Caenorhabditis elegans: one gene and its partner. The protein of the gene in region 1 interacts with the protein of each later gene in a biochemical or structural test. Each region holds a gene or a part of one and is shown on either strand. Other genes may lie near its edges.

The links. Proteins that work in one complex are often made in the same cells at the same time.
Region 2: the proteins of smp-1 (region 1) and plx-1 form a complex in vitro, tested with the Caenorhabditis elegans proteins (one study listed by BioGRID).

What each region holds. Positions count from the first base shown.
Region 1 is NC_003279.8:14,805,039-14,810,670, forward strand, and holds the start of smp-1 (Semaphorin-1A), read left to right. Parts: upstream 1-2,423; 5' UTR 2,424-2,441; coding exon 2,442-2,547; intron 2,548-5,404; coding exon 5,405-5,507; intron 5,508-5,632.
Region 2 is NC_003282.8:957,340-962,749, forward strand, and holds the start of plx-1 (Sema domain-containing protein), read left to right. Parts: upstream 1-2,181; coding exon 2,182-2,319; intron 2,320-3,506; coding exon 3,507-3,636; intron 3,637-5,410.

The sequences.
Region 1 (5,632 bases):
CTCCTCCTCCTCCCCACCATCATCTCTTTTGGCCGCTGGTGTCCCATGTCTTTTCTTCCTTTTTGCCTTTTTTCTGTCCTCAGCGCCTTCTCATGTGGGAATAAGAGGCGACAATGACGGCGACTAAGTGTTCTGCTTCTTCAGATGACCGGTGGTGTCGTTTTATTGGCTTTATGAGTGTCTCACCACCAGATAGTAGCACACGTTCTGCCCGGTGATCTTTAATTAGACGGGTTCTTAGATGTGGTTTTATTAGTTTTTATTAGAATTTCCACCACTTATTTTAATCTAGCTTTACTTCTTTCCTCCTCTCTTATGTAAATACATGTTTCTTCTCACCTGGTCTTCTGCTCTCGTCCCATCATTGTTACGCTGTCAGCTTTACACATCAAACCTGCGTAATCTACTTTATCTGCGTTCAAGAATGCACCGATCTCTCTTGTTGGATTCTGGAAGATTAACATAGCTCTTGTACGCTATGAGAGGAAGATTTTGCAGTGTTCAGCTGGAAAGCTTGATTTTGGAGCAATTTATTTTCTATTTAACATTCACATTGTCAATTTTTTTCAGAGAAAATTAATGTTTACCCTATTTAACAACAGTCGATTTTCTCCAAAAATAATAACATAGGAATTCCGAATGTGAAATAAATCAAACTTTTTTGATGATCACCCAACAATTGCGTAAATCGACCCATGGCCGTGTAAGAGCTTTCTAGATCTTCCATTTTCAAACTTGATGGATTTCGAGAGTCTTTGAAAATACGCCAGGAAATATAATAAAATTGTGTAGCTTATTCGAGATAGATCTAGAAAAAATCAAGTAATCGTAATTTTGGGATATCGAAAACGAGAGACGTAGAGAAAAAAGTTCTAACAGTCTTGACTGGTCACTCGGCGCCCATGCACCCATTCATTCGCCAATTCACATTCAATTATTTGTTTGTCTCTGCCTCTCACCCTCTAGCCCTGGTCCTCGACTCTTTTCGCGCCACACCCACTAAACCCAATAACCTTTACCTAGTAACCATTCACAATCAACCTACTATTAGAATCATCTTTATTTAAAAAGCTGTTCTTCTTTGGAACTACTTACTTACTTACTTACACCAAGCTTATTATAGCGGATGTTTTGACCTGATCGAGTAGGAGTAAGCTTTCTCCATCAAAAGTGATTAAAGTTCTTCTCGACCATTTCAGCCGAATTTTAAGATGTTTTTCTACTACGACCATGAAAATACTGCCACCTATCTTATCATGCAACTATTTTCTCTGCTAATCTCTCAATCTACATTTCTCTCTCTCTCTCTCTCTCTCTCTCTCTCTCTCTCTCTCTCTCTCTCTCTCTCTCTCTCTCTCTCTCTCTCTCTCTCTCTCTCTCTCTCTCTCTCTCTCTCTCTCTCTCTCTCTCTCTCTCTCTCTCTCTCTCTCTCACTTTCAATTGCCATTAGACTAACTGTTAATGTGTTCTCCCTTGTTTCTTTGGGTATCTCTATCCCTCTCTCTTCTCCACCACCACCATCGGATCCACACCTAGCATCTGAATTCAGTGTAACTTTACACACACACACACACACACACACGCACACACTTTTCAACATCGGGTGCTGATGAAGATGCTACTACACATCTTCTGATTCCTCATCTTTCTCTTCGTATTCATTGTCGTGTTGTCTGCCACTCTCAATCACTCTTGACTGATCTTTTTTTAATGAATGAAAAAAAAATCATCAATTTTAATGATTTCATTTTATTAATCTGCGCTTTTCGTTTCCAGCCTTTTGTTAGTGCTTTAAATATTTTGACTTGGTACTTACATTATAGTCGTATCTCAAAAAGTAGTTACAATTTTGAAATTGTACCATGAAGTTTTTTAAAATACTTTAGGGAATAAAAACATTTTTGTATAAATTCCTAAAAATGTAAAGTAACTTCACGTTTAGAAAATTCTGAAATTATGATAATGTAGCCTTCATTTTGATGCTCAAATCTTCTAATCAGATAATTTAAATTTTGATAGGTTCCCAAATCTACAAGTGCCTTTTTTGTACTCTTGTACATTGGCACACATTTTGAAAAAAAAACACACACAATTTTTTATAATTGATTTTCAAAGGCCTATTTCCTCAGCTTAGATGTACAAAAACTAAATGTTTTTATTTTTCATAACTAAAAAAATACATTTTGAAATTTGTACCTGTGAGTGACACATACCCCGGGGTCTTTTTAGAGATTTGAACAAATATATTTGATACATTGTACACATCATCCATTTTTTTTCAAAGTTCGTTTTTAATGACCACTATTTTTTAATCACTATACTCCCCCTTCCTGTCGATGTATGTTTACGTGTTCTTCCTGCTATCAATAATTTTCTTATCGTTCTCATGATTTTTTAAAAATCAATTTTTAAAATTATACCTATTTCAGCCAATGCGATAAATGCGACGAATACTAACTCTTTTGCTTCTTTTCAATGTCGTCAGGAGCTCCGAGGCAATTACGGGCGGCGTTGTCAATTTGAGACCAAAGCAGATTATTAATTCAGGCAAGGTTTTATGTACCTTAAGTTAAATGCGACGAAAGAAAAACCGGACGCTTCTTTATCTAAAAAAAATTCCCTTGCTCAAACTAAATTCAATTGAATTCAATGTTCTATCCGCTATGATTCCGACTCCTGACCTCCCTTACAATAGCAAGAAAGGGATGAAAAACGATCCGAGCATCGCTGGCGCACGCGCAGGAGCGCGGTGCATCTTTTCAACTATCTCACACTATCCATACTCTGACGAAACAGAGTGAAAAGTTGAGAAGGGAACGATGCATTTACACGAAAATGGCTCATTTTCAGCAGAAATACTTTGGGTAAAATGTATAGGATGGCAAAATTCGGCAAAATTTCAAAAGTTGACCTATAGCTGGAAATGATATCTTTTTCCTGAAACTTTTCCTAGGACCTCCAGCTTTCCTCTCACTTTTTTCCACTGACCTCATCTTATGCCAATAATCTACCGTAGAGATCTACCGCGCAGTCGGACCTTGTATCCCCTTCTCACCAATGTGTGTGTGTCCCGAACAGCTTATCTCACTTTTGGGAGAACATATTTACAATCTTTTTACTCCCTAGATGTCACAACCTGCCTTTATAAACAATGGCGTTACGCTCGAGACCTAATCGAGTAAATATGAGAAAGAGAAGAGTATTGTTTCTTTTTCGAGAGTTGAGATAGTGACACTGTTTGGTTAGTATATTGCTGTTACTTCTCGGTTTAACTAGGCACTCGAGACTTCGAATGCCGACGCACATAAAATGTAGAATATGAGCGTTGGTTCATTAGCATGCTCTTCCGAACCCGAAACACTTGACGTCGTTCCGCTTTCAATGCCCATTAACGGCCATTTGTTGCGCAATCAAGCCTAGTTTCTCGTGCTCCGGGAGCCCCCCCTTGCCTTCTCAATTTCCTCTCTGGCATATGGTATTGTTGTCCTGCAACCAACATGGATCATCCGGTTACGTTCTCTTTGCAAATATACATGTGTATACCGCCAGGCGTATTGTTGTTCTCACCCCCTTTTTGCTGTCTCTCTCGACTTGGCGGTAAGGACCGAAAAAGAGCTCAAAAGAAATCTGAGCATGGTGAAGAGGTGGGGAGGGAGACAAAAGGAGATGGAAATTATGGTTGTTGCGTCATAAAAATCTTTGAGAGCAGGCACCTGTCACGAATGACCCTAGCAATGTAGATGATATTTATTTATGCAAAACAATCAATCATTAAGAGAATCCAAGAAGATGACTATTTGAATTGGCATCAGTTTGACACCTTTCAATAGGGTTCGCTCTTCCTAGCAGCAGGATGCAATGGGTTCCAGGCTAGGCTGGCTTGCAATATCAAAAAATGAATTGTCAAACAGCCCGCTCAACGTGGCAGGAAATACATACCGTATACCAGGGATGGGCGACAATTGCCATTCGGCAAATTTTTTGTCGGCAAGTTCGGCAAATTGCCGGTTAGTCGATTTGCCGGAAATTTTTAATTCCGGCACTTTGCCGGAAAAATCGTTTGTCGCCCACCCGTGCTGTATACCGTACACCTTCACGAGTGCAAAAATATCCGATATGCCATGTCAATAAAAACTGAAGCCATTCTGAATATCAGTGGATTTTTATTGCCTGTTGCAATAGAATACTGTAATAATTTTTGATGAATACAAAATCAGTATGCATCTGAAATTTACAATACGACATGACACCTCACTCTCAATCAAAATCAAAAGACAAGCACCTGTCTTGTGTCAAATATATATATATGTCCCGTTTAAATCAATCATGGTCTTGTCATCACACACCATCCTTACGCAGCAGCACACCAGATTTCTAATAAAGTGTGATAAATCGTGTTGGGTTCTGCTGAATTTGCATAACTTTTGAAGACTTATGCACACACACAGACAGACATCTGTCGAATGAACAACATCTCATTGATGATGTCCTTCAGGCCGACATACGATCCTCTTCAAAAGATGTGTCAAGATCTAAACCGGGGAGGGAATGAAGAACCTAACGGAATAGATATTCAATCTTCGAGATTCCATCTATATCGGAACATTTTTGGGAGAAAAAAACTGGGTCGGCGGGACAGCAAAAGAAAACAAAACATGAAATTGGTGGAAAGTTAAGTAGGAGGACAAGTGAAGTACCTGGGAATATGCTGGGGAAGTGTGTTGAACGACGAAGATTAGCCTACTTTCTTGCATACAAATTAGTTAACCTGGGGGTTCATAAATTCTACCATGCTTACTTGAACGCTGAGATTCGGCACAAAGAATCATAATTCTCCTACTCCACATCCTTTTTCTTTATAATGATAGTCATGATGCTCCCTCAGGGAATAGGCGATTAGTGTAGAACACATAGTATATGATTGCGCGATTTCTTGCCAGTCTTGAATCCTCGGGGGACATCGTCTCCCGCTTTTTCTTCCCCTTTCTCAAACTTGTCATCTTTTAAGAAGGACATCATGGAAAGGACCGGGGAAAAGTAGAGGGGTTAAATCTACTAAAGATGACCTTTATACAAATGAATTGTTGTTGGGTAATAAGTAATAAGCATGACATCCCACGTATAACGTATGTTTCTCCTCTCGGCGTCCTTCAAAAATGAATTCGTTTTAGGTAAATGTGTGTTCCTCCCCTTTTTTGCATGATATGTCCCTCAAAAAGAGGTTACCGCCGACTCCCTGTGTCCAAAATGAGATCGTTTTCGGAAATTAGATAAATTGGAAACCAATGAGAAAGAGGAGAGGAAGAAGGGTGTTCGGTTACCTTCTTTGATGAGTCGAACAGATTTATGAACAAAAAAAAAGAAACTACAATTAATTTTCCTATTAAATACACACTTTTTACAGTTGGAATCGGAGATCGCTTCGGTGGAATTGGCACATCGTCTGATGAATCGGACCACTTCAAGCTTCTTGCCGCCGATGGAGATTCACTTCTTGTTGGAGCGAGGTACTGGGATGTTTATTTTATCAATACTTAAAATAGCACATGATTATTGACCATCCATTCTACTGACCGTACAAAAACAAGTTTGATTGTTTGAAAGCTGATAAAAATCTAGCCGAAAATATAGG
Region 2 (5,410 bases), on another chromosome or scaffold:
TCAGGCAAGACATGGTACATCAAGGTGTTTTTTTATCTGTAGGTTCTTTTTTAAAATTATTGTACATATCGTTAGAACTTTCAAATTTCTTTAAAATGGCACGAGGCTTTTGTAATCCAAAAACGCAAAGACACACTTAAGTTCCGCCCATTTCTTGGCTATTCACGTGGTGTCAGGCTGTCTCATTTCATTTTGATCTACAAAAAATGCGGGAATATTTTTCCAGAAAAATTGTGACGTCAGCACGCTCTTAACCAGGCGAAATAAGATGAGAAGTCTGCGTCTCTTCTCCCGCATTTTTTGAAGATCAAATCGAAATAAGACATTCTGACTTCCCGTGGCTATTCTCTCCGAATGAAGCGCCCATTTCGATGTCGGTCCAACATCGTGGCGAGACCAGACAAAATATCGCCAAGTCAAAAATAGACATTATCCATAATTCCAGTATACAGGCTCCGCCCACTTCTTGGCTAAGTTCAATTTTTGTAACAATCTAGTATGTTCTCCTCATCAAGTCAAACATAATAATTCAACACAACACTGTCTGCGTCTCTCTGTCTCCCTTCATTCATTTTCATTACTTATTACACACCGACCCCCCAATAGTTGTGCTCGATAAAATCGCTCGTCGTGTCTGCGTCTCCTCTACCCCCTCCACTCTCTCGAACCGATCACTCGTGGTGGTGGTATATGTGTGTGTGGTGGAGTGTGATTCATTGAATGAATGAAGGAGACACCCATTGACTTTCGGAATAAGATGTCCTTGTATCTGTTCTCTGTGTGTGTGTGTTTCTCTGCGTCTCTCTATCTCTAGACTATCTTGTAAATTCCCCATCAGCAAAGTTTTGTGGTTTTAGGGCAGTGATCTGGTGATTTTTTCACTCAGAAATCTGTGGTTTAGCAGATTTTTCGAATTTTTTCCTCAAAATCTTTTTTTTTTAATTTTAGGTTTAAATAGTTTTTTAAGGGGCTTTTCAACTGATTATTTGATTTTTTTGATTGAAATTTAATTTTTTTTAGGAAAAAAAAACTGAAAAAATTGTAGATTTTTTGAATTTTTAAAAAAGTTGGAAAAATTTGACCCGATTTAAACATCTTAAATTTTTGAATTTTTTCTGCTTTTTCTCTATTTTCTTGTTTTTAGCCCACTTTTCAAATTTCAATTTAAAAAATTATAAGAAAATCACCTTTTTTATCGAAAATTACACGGATTTCTGGCTTCCCTCATAAATTTAAATGGAAGAGTTTGCCGAACTAGACCATTTTGGGTCAGAGAGATTTTGTGTAGATTTACGGCGCGTTGCGTGTCGCGTCGCGGCTCGATTTTAGTTGTAAAACTAAATTATTTATAAGTGTGGAGTACACGACTTTCCCACGCGTTGTCCGGCGATTGTCAATGGAGCGCAAAAAATTCAATGAGGAAGGCCAGAACCCCGTGAAAATTTCCAGAGAAAAGCATGTTTCCTTCAAGAAAACCGGTGGCCTAGGTTTTTTTCTCGGTCACGTTCAAAAAAAATCCCTCCAGTATAATTTCTGAGCTCTTTTTTTCAATTATCTTGATTAATTTTTAGAAAATTTTGAATTGCAGGTCACATTTTTAGATTTTTTGAAAAAATTTCAGAATAGTTGATAAACATTTTTCATCTTCGAAATTTAGACATTTTTCTAGAATTTTACAAAAAATTAATGTTTTTCTATAAAAGCCTGGAGTATTGATGGATCTCATTATGAATTTTCCCTAATATTTCCGCAAATTTTCTCATCTTTTCGGTAATTTTCTCCGACTTTTACTTATTAAACCCTTTTCCCCAATAATTTCTCAATTTTCTCCGAAATTTTCGGTTTTCACAGGTCAAAATACTTATGTGGAGCGTGACTTGACATCTTTTATAGGTTTTTTCGAAGTAAAAATCAATTTTTTGCACTTTTTTCTCAATCATTACCTAAAAAACATGTTTCTCCGGACTTTGGAAAATCCCGTAGCAAGCGCGCCCCATTGCCAATTTTCGCACAAAAAATATGCCAGAACACCCTGATTTCTCTATTTTTTCTCAATTTTCCTTTGGATGTTCGCAAGTTTTCAGTTTTTAATCAATTTTTCTTCATTTTCAGAACCCCCGAGCGGCCTCGCCACTATCAATCATTCAAATCGGGGCTATATGGATGAGAAATAGGCATGAAATGCCCACATTTCTCCAATTTTTCATCATTTTCGGCGTCGCCGCCGCCGCCGCCGGCTCGAAAAATGTCTATTCGATCGATGATAATCTAGTTTTCAAGAATCCAAGCCATGATGGACATGAGGTTTTTGAAAAAATGGTGAGTTTTTTATTTGGAAAAACCGAAAAAATCAGAAAATTTGACCCTAAAAAATGGTTTTTTTTTGAAAATATGAAAAATTTGATAAAAATCAATAAAAATTGTTGGATTTTTTGTTCTAATTTTGCGGAATGCCATTGAAATTATTAAAAATATCACGAAAAATCAATTTAAAAAAAAGTAAAAATCGCTAAAATCTAATAAATTCGCACACTTAAATTCACTGTTACCGTAACCCTTGTCGGTGTGAGACCCAAAATGTTAATTTTCGTGAAACTTCGCACAAACTCAAAAAAAAACTGTAAAAACCCGGGTGAAATCACATTTCGGCAAATTTGCCGAAAAATCGATAATTTCCCGAAAGATCGCACACGTGAAATTACTGCTACCGTACCCACCAGTCGCTGTAGTACCCAAAATGCTCAGTTTCTTGAAAATTCAAAAAATATCGAAAAAAGCCTGGAAAAGTGGCAAATTTAACCAAAAATCGATATTTCTTCGAAAATCGCAATGTGCTACCGTTACCCATTTTCGTGACGAGACCCTTCTTCTGAAAATATGTAAAAATTTGTACAAAATTGCACAAATTTAAAAAATTTCCAAAAAAAAAAACCAAATAATTTTTCGACAAAAATCGATTTTTTCCGAAAAAAGTACACGTGAAACTATCGCTACAGTAACCCATTTTCGTTGTGAGACCGACAAAATCGTGGCGGGACCCATATAGCTACGGTAGCACTAGTTTAACGTGTGCCGGAGAGAAAAAATCGGAAATTTATTGATTTTAACAGGTTTTTTTCTCGACTTTTCATCAAAGATCTTCAAATTTCAACCGAAAATTGATGATTTTACCATTAATATTTCTAACTACAGTAATCCTAATCTTTGCGGGACCATGTAGGTACGGTAGGACTCGTTTAACGTATGCCGGAGGGGCAAAATATCGAGAATTTATTGATTTTCAACATGTTTTTCTCGAATTTTCACCAAAAAATCGATACTTGTAACATTTAAATTCAAAGATACAGTAATCCTAATTGTGGCGAGACCCGTATAGGTACGGTAGCACTCATTTCACGTGTGGCGACTCTGGAAAATCGAGAATTTCGATTATTTTCAACGGATTTTTCTCAAATTTTCCACTAAAAATCGATAATCTACAAAAAAAAATTAAATTTTATTTGCAGGCAATCGATCCATCGACCACACGGGTATTTGTTGGTGCTGTCAATAGTCTTTATGACCTGACAAGTGCCGATTTAACTGTAAGAAGACATGTACAAACTGGACCTCAAGATGATTCGCCATTGTGTCGTGGTAAGTGGGTTTTTTTGGCGAAAAATTTGGAAAAAATCGATAAAAAATCAATTTTTTTTTTCATTCCGAAAAAAAAATTTTTTTTTTCGAAATTTTTTTTTCAATTAAAAACCCCCAAATTTATTGATTTTTATTTTTTTATTTTTCCCTATTGAAAAAAATTTTTCCATTATTTTCCAATTTACCTAAAAATTCACAAAATTTCTTTTTTTTTTTCCAAAACAATTTTTTTTTCAACTTCCATAAAAAAAATTGTATATTCAAATTTTTCACATAAGATCGCATGAAAAATCTGAAAAATAACTAAATTTTGCCTAAAAATCCACAGAATTCGCTTCATTTCTGAAAAAAAGTGATCTTGGATTTTTTTTCAAAAATTAAAAAAAAAATTTTTTCCCAAAATTTCAAAAATTCATAAAACTTCAATTCTTTTGTAATTTTAGAATGAAATCACCTATTTTTCACTGAAAATCATTTCTTCATTTCCAGAACAAAAAAAATTCTTTAAAGAAATTATACCAGCAAAAAAATTGTTTTTTTTTTGGAATTTTTTTAATTTACCAAAAATAAAAGAAATTATGGCCATACAACTTAGAACTTTATTAAAAAGCTGAAAACTCACCAAAATTTAATTTTTTCTTAAAAATACAAATTCTAAATTAAATAAAAATTAAAAAAATATATATAATTAAAATTTCTTAAAATTTCTTCACAAAATTTCACATAAAAATCTACACAGAATTCTCTTTATTTCCGAATAAAAGTAATTTTTTGAAAAATTTCAATTTTTTTTTAATTCCAAAAAAAAATTTTTTTTTTTCAAAAATTTCAAAATAACCATTTTTGCAAAAATTTTCAGAACTCGACACTGTTTTATTCTTTTTTCCACTCAAAATCACATTAAAAATCTTGAAAATTACAAAAATTTGCCTAAAAACACCACAAAATCTCCAAATTCTCTCCTCCATCCATCCCAAAATGTCATAAATTACTCGGACAACTTAGTCAAATTTCCCCCTTTTCTCCGTGTACTTGCTCCAAAATGCTCCAAATTAGGGGTCCACACGGATAACCCTAATTACCATAATCTCTCCTCCTCCACACATGTTGGCGGATGGAGACTATTCTGCCTTCTTCTTCCTGATTTAAAAAGGGGAATATAAGTAGCTTTGAGAGGATTTTCGGGGGAGGAGAATACACTTATAAAATGACAAAGGAATGCCGAAAATGGATGGATGGATGGGGGAAGATATAGATTTGAAGTAGTTAGTTAGTGGAAAAAGTGAAGCTAAGGGGTTTTTTTTGGCCAAAAAATGGGGAAAATTGGGTTGGAATAGCCGAAATTGTTGGGAGAAAATAGGTGAAATTTGGCTGAAAAAAAGACTGAAAATAGCAGATAATTGGCTAAAAATAGCCAAAATTTGACTGAAAATAGGCGAAAATTGCAAAAAATTGTTCAAAAATGGGCTGGGCATAGCCTAAAATAGCAGAAAGTAGGCGAAATCGACTGAAAACTGGCAAAAATTGGCGAGAATTGGCAAAAACTCTGCGAAATTGGCTGAAAATAGCTTTAAAAATTTGCCAAACAAGACTGAAAATAGCCGAAATTTTTGGGACAAAATTGGGAAATTTTGGCTGAAAATAGCCTAAAACCAGCCAGAAATTATCTGAAAATTGGCAAAAATTGGCTAAAATGAGGCAAAAACTATCTAAAATTGTCAAAAGTTGATTGAAATGGTTGCCAAAAATTGTCTAAAACTAACCTAAATTGACT